Linked DNA regions of Mus musculus: region 1 is reported to be linked to region 2. The links are microRNA targets in miRTarBase. Many come from high-throughput screens and were not tested one by one. Region 2 holds a microRNA gene; the other region holds the end of a gene's coding sequence.
Evidence for each region. Region 2 holds the annotated microRNA mmu-miR-323-5p (AGGUGGUCCGUGGCGCGUUCGC, at 2,063-2,084, opposite strand). A microRNA usually pairs through its seed, bases 2 to 8, with sites in the 3' UTR of a target mRNA and lowers its output. Matches are read on the target gene's strand: a 7mer-m8 pairs with bases 2 to 8, a 7mer-A1 pairs with bases 2 to 7 and ends in A, and an 8mer does both.

Region 1 (4,065 bases), not on the chromosome of region 2:
CATCTGTGGCCCCAGCACTGGGAGGTAGAGTCATGAGTATCAGGAGTTCAAGGTCGTCTTCAGAGACACATTGACTTTGAGGCCAGCATGGGCTATGTGAGATCCTATCTCACAAACAAACAATGACAAGGACAAGAAATGAAAGCTTGAAAGGCAATAAATACATCTTAAGCTATGTAATGTGAATGGGATGGAGCCCTGGGGTGAAGGACAGAAAGAAGGAATGTGCTTAGGCTGTGAGATCAGAAAATTCTTGGCATCTGGCATCACGATGAGGAGCAGGGTTTGTGGGGTTTAGCAGGAACCACAGGAGGATGGGATGTATGGGTGTCACAGGGAGGGAATTGCCTGTGAATGAGGACACCCTGGGTCATCTAAGGAACAGAAATAATGTGTTTTCTCTTCTCTGCTTCTCTGCCGCAGCGTTCTTGTCCTCACCCCTCAGAGACTGTGGTCATGAGCAAACATACCTTCTGGGAGCCAATAAAAGTCCATGACATCCGCTGGAACTTTGAGAAGTTCCTGGTGGGACCCGATGGCATCCCTGTCATGCGCTGGTTCCACCAGGCTCCTGTCAGCACTGTCAAGTCTGACATCATGGCGTACCTGAGCCATTTCAAAACCATATAGGAAGGCCAAGCTTCTGACCTCTTCCTCCTTCCCCCTTAAAGACTGCTCTGAAAAAAAGACTCCATCTTCTCAGCACACTCTTCACTGAAATGGACTCTACCTCCCCAAGTCACCCCTAAATTGCCTAAGTTCTTCCCCTGCACAAGTAGATTTGTGTCTGGGAAGCTGTAGATGTTTTTCCTTGTTAGATTTATGAGTTGAAGAGAGAAAATAAAAGAAAAAAGAAAAAGCTAAATCCAGAGACCTCAGAGGTTTGGCTGAGTATGTTAGTACTCACCTATAATGTCAGCACTCAGCAGACATTACAGACATTTCAGACAGGCAGCGACAGGAGGAACATGAATGGCAGGCCAGCCTAAGCTACAAGATATCATGTGTCCAAAAAAAAAAAAAAAAAAATCCACCACCACCAACACAACCCGATTGAACTACTCTAATTCACCAAAGGATATGGGGATAGCTTGGTTGGAGGCTGTATCTGAAGGAAGAGTCCCCTTGGCCATTCTGAGTCTTTCTCTTCCCAGCCTGAAGGTGGAGAAAGAGCAATGGAGGCTGGTCAGACAATCTAGTTTGCTCCTCTGAAACTGTGTGTCTCCTGAGACAAATGCCTTGTCAGTTCCTGAGGTCTTTTAATTCGGTCTTCATCTCTGTCTCCATCCTCTCTGCCCTTCTCCTGCGGCCAATCTGAGGGAGAGTCTGAGCAGATTGACTCGCACAGGAGGAGGGCATCTCCCTGATGCCAGGATCGGGGACTTGTCCCTGATTCTGCATAAGTGCTCCTTTCTGTGTGATCTTCACGGGGTCAGCTAGTGCTTATGAGTGGGGATGCCTTTCATCATCTGAAGAATAGGACCCCCCACATACACACCCCAACCTGGGATTCTTCAACTTCAGAACTAGACATATTATTTCCAATAAAATGTTTTCTGAAGCATTCAAGACCTTTGTGGTTCATTCCTAATTGATGTTTATGTTTGAATCTCTCCTCCTGTCCACACTATAAGTGACATCCACATTATGAACTTTTTCAGAGACAGTGTATCAGTCAAGGCTCTATAGTCACAGAACTTAAGGAATGAATATATAATGTGTAATACATGATTATGAAAGAACTCAGTGGGGAAACCCCCACTCAGCTCCCGATTCGGCGTGCACCCAAGAATCACGAATAGAACACAACACCTTGATGTAACAACAAGAGGTATTTTAATGGCGGAGCTCCGGGTCGAAACGTATCTCACACAACAGGAGACAGTGGATTCGACCACGAGGCTTGGAAGCTAGGGGTTTTTATAGAAAAGGAGTGGGGCTGGGGGAGGAATTGGCGCGGTTTCACATGATTGGTCCATTTAAACATCAGCAGCCTGTAACATTTAACTTAGGTCAGAGGGGTGGGAGATAGGGAGGCAATGGGCCTGCCAGGGCATGTCCTGGTCTGTTCTGCTATGTTCTCAGCCCCAGGTTTCAAAGCTCACAAACAACTCTTTGGGCTATTTGACATACATTACATGAATTACAGTTTTATTTCCTTTCAATTACACACACACATTAAAGGGAGTTTGTTGGAATGATGTATAGTTTGCAGTCCAACTAATCCAACAATGGCCAGCTGTGACTGGAAAGTCCAAGAATCTAGTAGTTGCTCAGTCCTGTGAGGCTGGGTGTTTCAGCTGGTCTTCTAAATAAGCTAGAATCCTGAAGAAGTAGGCTCCAATAGATGTACTGGCAAAGTAAGTACAAGCAGGCAAAGAAAAAACCCTTTTTTCTTCCATTGTCCTCATGTAGGCCTCCAGCAGAATGTATGGATCAGATTGCCTCTAGATCTGGATTAAAGACGTGTATCTTCCAGCCTCAAGATCTGGTTCAAAAGCTTGTCTTCAAGCCTCAAGATCTAGGTCACTGGTGTGCCCTCCATTTCTGGATTGTAGTTTATTCCAAATGTAGTCAAGTTGAAAACATCTCAAACAGTATTTATCCTCCTAGATGTTTAGAAAGTTGTCACCTGAGGCTCATGGCTGGCACCTGGCTTTAAGAATTGCCTCAGACCAAGTTGGTTGCATCAGGTCTTGGCCTCAAGGGTTTATCTGAGGCCTTTCAGCTCCAGAGGCGTCTGGGGAGTTGGCTGATACCTTTTGTCCTTGCTCTGCAGCCCAGTCTTTCTCTCTGATAAAAACCACTTCTCTAACTTGCTGTGTGTTCTAGTGTCACTCAAGTTGAGCATCAAATTCAGAATGTATGTATTAATTGGAACCCCAAGCCCAGGTGTTGACAATTCACTAATGTCCTGGTAAAATTTTTTTCTTGAAATGTGAGTGTCAAACTGGAACTTGCTCATGATGGTAGATCCTGTAGGCACTGAGTCACACACCCCAGTAATCCAATAATGAAGGTGAATTAAAATCTCCATTTCACAGTCTTCATTTTAAGAACTCCAATGTGCAATTATCAACACAGGGGGGAAATGCCTATCTAAGGAAGAGATGCTAATGTGACTTTTTAAAGGCTAAATTATCCACACCTAGTTAACAATTAGGAAATAAATGTAGCACAAATAGCTTCTGCCACAAAGTATCTGTGATTATTGAAACTCCCCTCCAATTTGAGTGGTACAGTTTACCATGAAGGGAGACACGCTAGTAACATGTTAGCACTGAAAGCAGTGGGTGGTAATAGAATGGTTATCATTGCAGAAGGAAGTCTACAGTTTGGAGAGACACAGTGAACAGTTGGAATGACATGTCATGAAATAAAAGCTAAATGTGAAACCATTCCTGCTGGATCATTTAAAAAAAAGTCTCAGGGCCAACGTGGTGATGCACATTTATAATGCCAACATTAAGAAGGCTGAGACAGGAGAGCCACCCACTCAAGGTCAGACTGAGCTCCATAGTGAGAACCTGTCTCAAAACAAGAGAAGGTGGGAAGCAGAGGGAGAGATAAAGGAAGGGAAGGAGGGAGAGAGAGAAAGACAGAGAGACAGACAGACAGACACACAGAGACAACATCTTTCATGTTCTGCTACTCAACAGCACAAGAAAACTAAGTTAAGTTGCACATTTGGACTGCTCCTTTACACCAGCTGGAGAACTCGTTGGAAGAGGATAAATCCTCTATACACAGATGTTTTGATGCATCAACACTTCCATTAAAACAGATGTCCACAGATGTAGGTTTACTCACTGATTAAGAGTCTAAAATGTCAGGATCCCACCCCAACAGTCAGATACTGAGGAAGGCAGGGTGGGTGGCATCAATGGGGGCCAAAAGCAGGTGACTTTTAGCAATTTAACTCTCTCCTGTTATTCAAGGACCAAAAGCTGATCAGCTTCTGGCAATTGACTCCTACTGATAGCAGCAAGGGAATTAAGAAAAGAAACTTAGTGACTTGGGCTCTTTTTTCTTTGACTCAAAGGCCTCTCAGTGGCCAAGGGGGTG
Region 2 (4,065 bases):
TCTACTGCTGACCACAACCCTGGGTGGAGTTAAGGACTAAGAACAGATTTCACATCTTTTGTTTATTTGTTTGTTTGTTTGGTTGGTTGGTTGGTTTGGTTTTTTTCGAGACAGGGTTTCTCTGTATAGCCCTGGCTGTCCTGGAACTCATTCTGTAGACCAAGCTGGCCTCGAACTCAGAAATCCACCTGCCTCTGCCTCCCAAGTGCTGGGATTAAAGGCGTGCGCCACCACTGCCCCGCTCCAGATTTCATATCTTAAAGCTCACTGGGCAAATGTGTGTGCCAATTTCAGGTTTGCTTTCCTACTGCTAGAACACTGCTGATTCCAAGTCTCTTATTACAAGGATGTGGGTGTGTGTGAATAGCATGGATCTAGGTACCATCTGACACAGTGGGTGTTCTCTACAATAGACAGTCCTATAGCAGGGGTTGGCTGATTAAAAGCCCATCACCGTGCCTCCAAAGCATGCTGGACATGTGTGGGGGTGGCTGTGTCTAACCTGTTAGAAGCAAAGTGGGTGCAACCTACCTGTGATGACCTGGGGTAGAGTTGCCTCGGTGGCTGCCATCTTCCCCAACTTTGGAACACCATATTGGTTGAGAAGTCCTCCTGAGAATGGACAAGATACTGAAGGTTAGAAGCACAGGCAACAGAAATCTGATGTATGGGATGGGTTTTGTCCGTCACTCACTTGTTCATAACTATTAGTGTGTCCTCAGCTGAGGCTGAGGTATGGACCAGAAGGCCTCCATAGTTTGTTCTGATGGGAAGAGAGGTTGACCAAATGTGTTTCAAACACAGAAACCCCTCTTCCACATCCTCAGTTAACAATAACAATGACACCTTCCCAAACTGGACCTTCAGACCTGGCAGGCCTGGGAGGGTTTAGAGGACAAAGGACACCATTCAGAACGATAATCCACTCGCTGGCTTTGTGGAGAACCAGTTATTCCTGTCCCCTGGCTGGATGCTGACAGGACCATCCTTCCCTGAGACTGGGATCTGGACCACGAAGCCTCCAAGATGGGATTTGATACTGAAAAAAAGGTTAGCTGGGTGTGTTTCATTCTCATCAAAGAAACAGAGACCCAGAAAACCTCTCTTCCGGTACCAGAAGCGAACACTGACAAGACTACCTCGGTAATTCCCCAACGTGACCTTCAGACCTGGCAGGCCTGTTGAATGCAGGGTTGCACACTGGATGTTAGTCAAAGTGCTCAAGCAAGCCATTAGTTGATATATATCTGACAGCCATCCCATCACATGCCCCAGTACAGCAGACCTCCATGGCATGATCCTGAAGTTATGTCACAACCAGAGAGCAGTGGCGCAGTAGAGACTGGCTATAGGACTTACCACCATTTTGGGTAACCACAGAAAGGCACAGATGCCCCCAAACCAAAGATGATTCCTCCCACAGATTTAGCATGCAAGTGTGCTAAGGTGACCTGCGACCTGTGCCATATATAAATGGCATACACACACCCTGGTCATGTCTGACAACATGGTACGTTTCTTGAACTTGGATGGCCCCATATCAAGGAAGGGATCCAAGTATAGGACAGCATTGGAAGCCCATCCAATACTACCATAACAGGCACATATGTTGCAAGTACTGAGGATGCTGTCTCCAAGTCTAACAGCGTACAGCTGGCTTATTGCCTCTGTCCCCAAAAGTTGAGATCTCTTCCAGGAAGTTCTCCAAGGGAAGGTTAGATACTGAGGGTTAGTGGACCAGGTCACAAACGGCACAAATATAGCGTGTGCTCTCTGGTCAACCACCTCACGCACCCACACGTGTATCACATGTCGATGCCACTTTCCTGGTCTGCAAGTCACCCTGCCCACGAAGCTGCCAAGCCAGAGAAATTTGCTGAGAAGAAGGCTGCCACACAAGAGTTATTGTCAGACACAAGAAAAGACAAACCCGCTGGCTGGGTTGCGCTAGCACACACATTTAGTGTCCCCACCCCACAGCTGGTGTTAGCTCCAGGAAAGCTCGCAAGGCGGGATTAGATACCGCAAAGAGGTCGACCGTGTAATGTGCGCCATAAATGAAGCGAACGCGCCACGGACCACCTCTCTCCAAGTACCAAGCAGCAGCAGTAGGAAGACCGGGACACTGGCTCTTCCTCAAAGCAGATGTCACCTCCTGGAAGTCTTCCAAGGCGAGATGTGATATTGAGAAGAAGTAGACCATGTGTCCTACGTCATAAATAAAGCGTACACACCATGGTCAACCGCATCTTCAAATACCTTGAGGTAACGCTGGCTGATTCCAGCTCACTTTACTTAATTTGGTGTTACCTCCAAAATGCCTTCTCAATGAGTGTCACAAACTACCAGCAATCGGCATGTGTGGCAATGGCCACAAACTCATGTTTAATGCCACTATGACTTCCAGGATGCCCTGTAAGGCTGGGCTGGGTGCCAAATATTGGCTTTGGATCAAATGGCCAGAGTCGTAGGTAATGAACATGGCCTGTAGCCAAGCACTGGGTAATCTGTGTTGGATAGGGTCTGCCGCCTGAGCCCTACTCTCAATTGGTATGGCTTTCAGAAAGCCCCTGGTGACCGGCTGATGCAGAGATGTGGTGGACCATGCTGTACATGCTGGAATTAACGCACACACTCGACAGTCTACCATCTCCCCAAGTACTGTGCTGAAGCCAGGACAGGATATCTCCCATGAAGTTGGCTCGGTCTCTGGAAAACCCTCACGAATGACTTTGATAACGAGAAGATGTGGACCATACTACATACGACACAGAAGTAGCGCATGTTCTATGGTCAACCATCTTTTCAGGTACCATGGAGAGAGGGTGGTGCAGGAGCTGGCTTCTTTCCTCATGATTATCACTTCCAGGAAACCCTAGATGCAATGTTGAAAAGAGACCACCATGCATTGCCTGCTGCAGATGCAGAGAATATAGCAAAGAGAAGTTTGCAAGGACGCGAAGAGAAGACCCCGTAACTAGCACTGTGCCTTTAAGGAAATATTGTTCACAGGAAGCCCCCAAGGCGCATTCACTATTATGGGAAGGTGGACCAAATTAACATGCGCTGTAAGTAAAGCAAGAAGCATGGACAACCTCTACCCCAAGGCATTTGTCCTTCTGCCTTGCCCCCCCACCCCCAAGGTTAATGGGGCCTCTTTGGAAACCTTCAAAGCTGAAGTTGATATTGAAAAGAGTAGGCCAGGTTACAAATGGTGTTAATAATACACATGCAGTTTGCTTGATCCCTCTTCAGGTACCGTGAGGTCATTGCTGATGCAAGAACCAGAGCCCTGTCTCTGAGGCTAGCAGCATCTTCAGCAAGTTCTCCAAGGCTGGGCTGGAGGTAAGAAGAAGTGAGCCAAGAAGCAACTTTGATCTGTAAGCATACATGGAGGAGCCAGGCTGGGTCATCTTCCTCTAGAAGGCTAGACTTGATATGGAAAAAAAGATACTATATACGAAGCATCAGTGGAAACAGGGACTGTGTCTTCATGCATCTGTCTTTGCACTGTATCATGTAGCCCTAGCTGTCCTTCTATGGGCATAATGTCTTGAAGGCATCTGATGATAGCTTTGCAGATGATGAAAACACGCAGCATCCCTTGATGATGAGCATCTGTGGAGCTAATTGCCACTTTTTCAAGTCCTAAGGAGGGAGGGAGCATGCCCAGTTGGGATGTAGGACACCTTCCTGGAGGTTGTCATCATCCTTGAAGAAGCCCTTAAGGGCTGCACTGAAGCTGACAGGAACACCTTGCCACATGAATTAACAGAGAAAGCACACAAAAAGCAGAGGGATGTTTGGCCAAGCAGCCCGATGTAGAGAGCAAGCCAAAACAACGTTTCTTCTCTCACTTCAGGCTTGCTCGAGGATGGTATGGACTGGATGGCTGGGCTGGATACCAAGAAGCGGTTTACCGTCCCACATACATACTCAAAATGTATGTGGGACGGTAAACCATTTCTTCAAGTACCGCGTGACAGCAAGGACAGCTGTAAGAAGGTTCATGTCTGCCAGGTTGCCTCAGGACACCTCTTCAGGGATGGTGTTGAGAAGAAGCAG

Region 1: miRTarBase lists Gpx5 as a target of mmu-miR-323-5p. Seed matches in the 3' UTR shown: 7mer-A1 at 1,033-1,039 and 7mer-A1 at 1,036-1,042.

What each region holds. Positions count from the first base shown.
Region 1 is chr13:21,283,931-21,287,995 of GRCm38, reverse strand. Gpx5 (glutathione peroxidase 5) reads left to right here. Exons shown (of 5, transcript NM_010343.2): 5 at 424-1,567. The coding sequence ends at 630. Among named protein-coding and RNA genes, the nearest start is that of n-TRtcg2, 6.3 kb to the right of the region's middle.
Region 2 is chr12:109,710,542-109,714,606 of GRCm38, reverse strand. It overlaps Mir323 (microRNA 323), which reads right to left and starts at 2,099; the gene lies at 2,014-2,099. It overlaps Mir299a (microRNA 299a), which reads right to left and starts at 3,969; the gene lies at 3,907-3,969. Mir299b (microRNA 299b) reads left to right here and starts at 3,914; the gene lies at 3,914-3,962. Mir380 (microRNA 380) reads right to left here and starts at 2,804; the gene lies at 2,744-2,804. It also overlaps Mir1197, Mir758 and Mir329.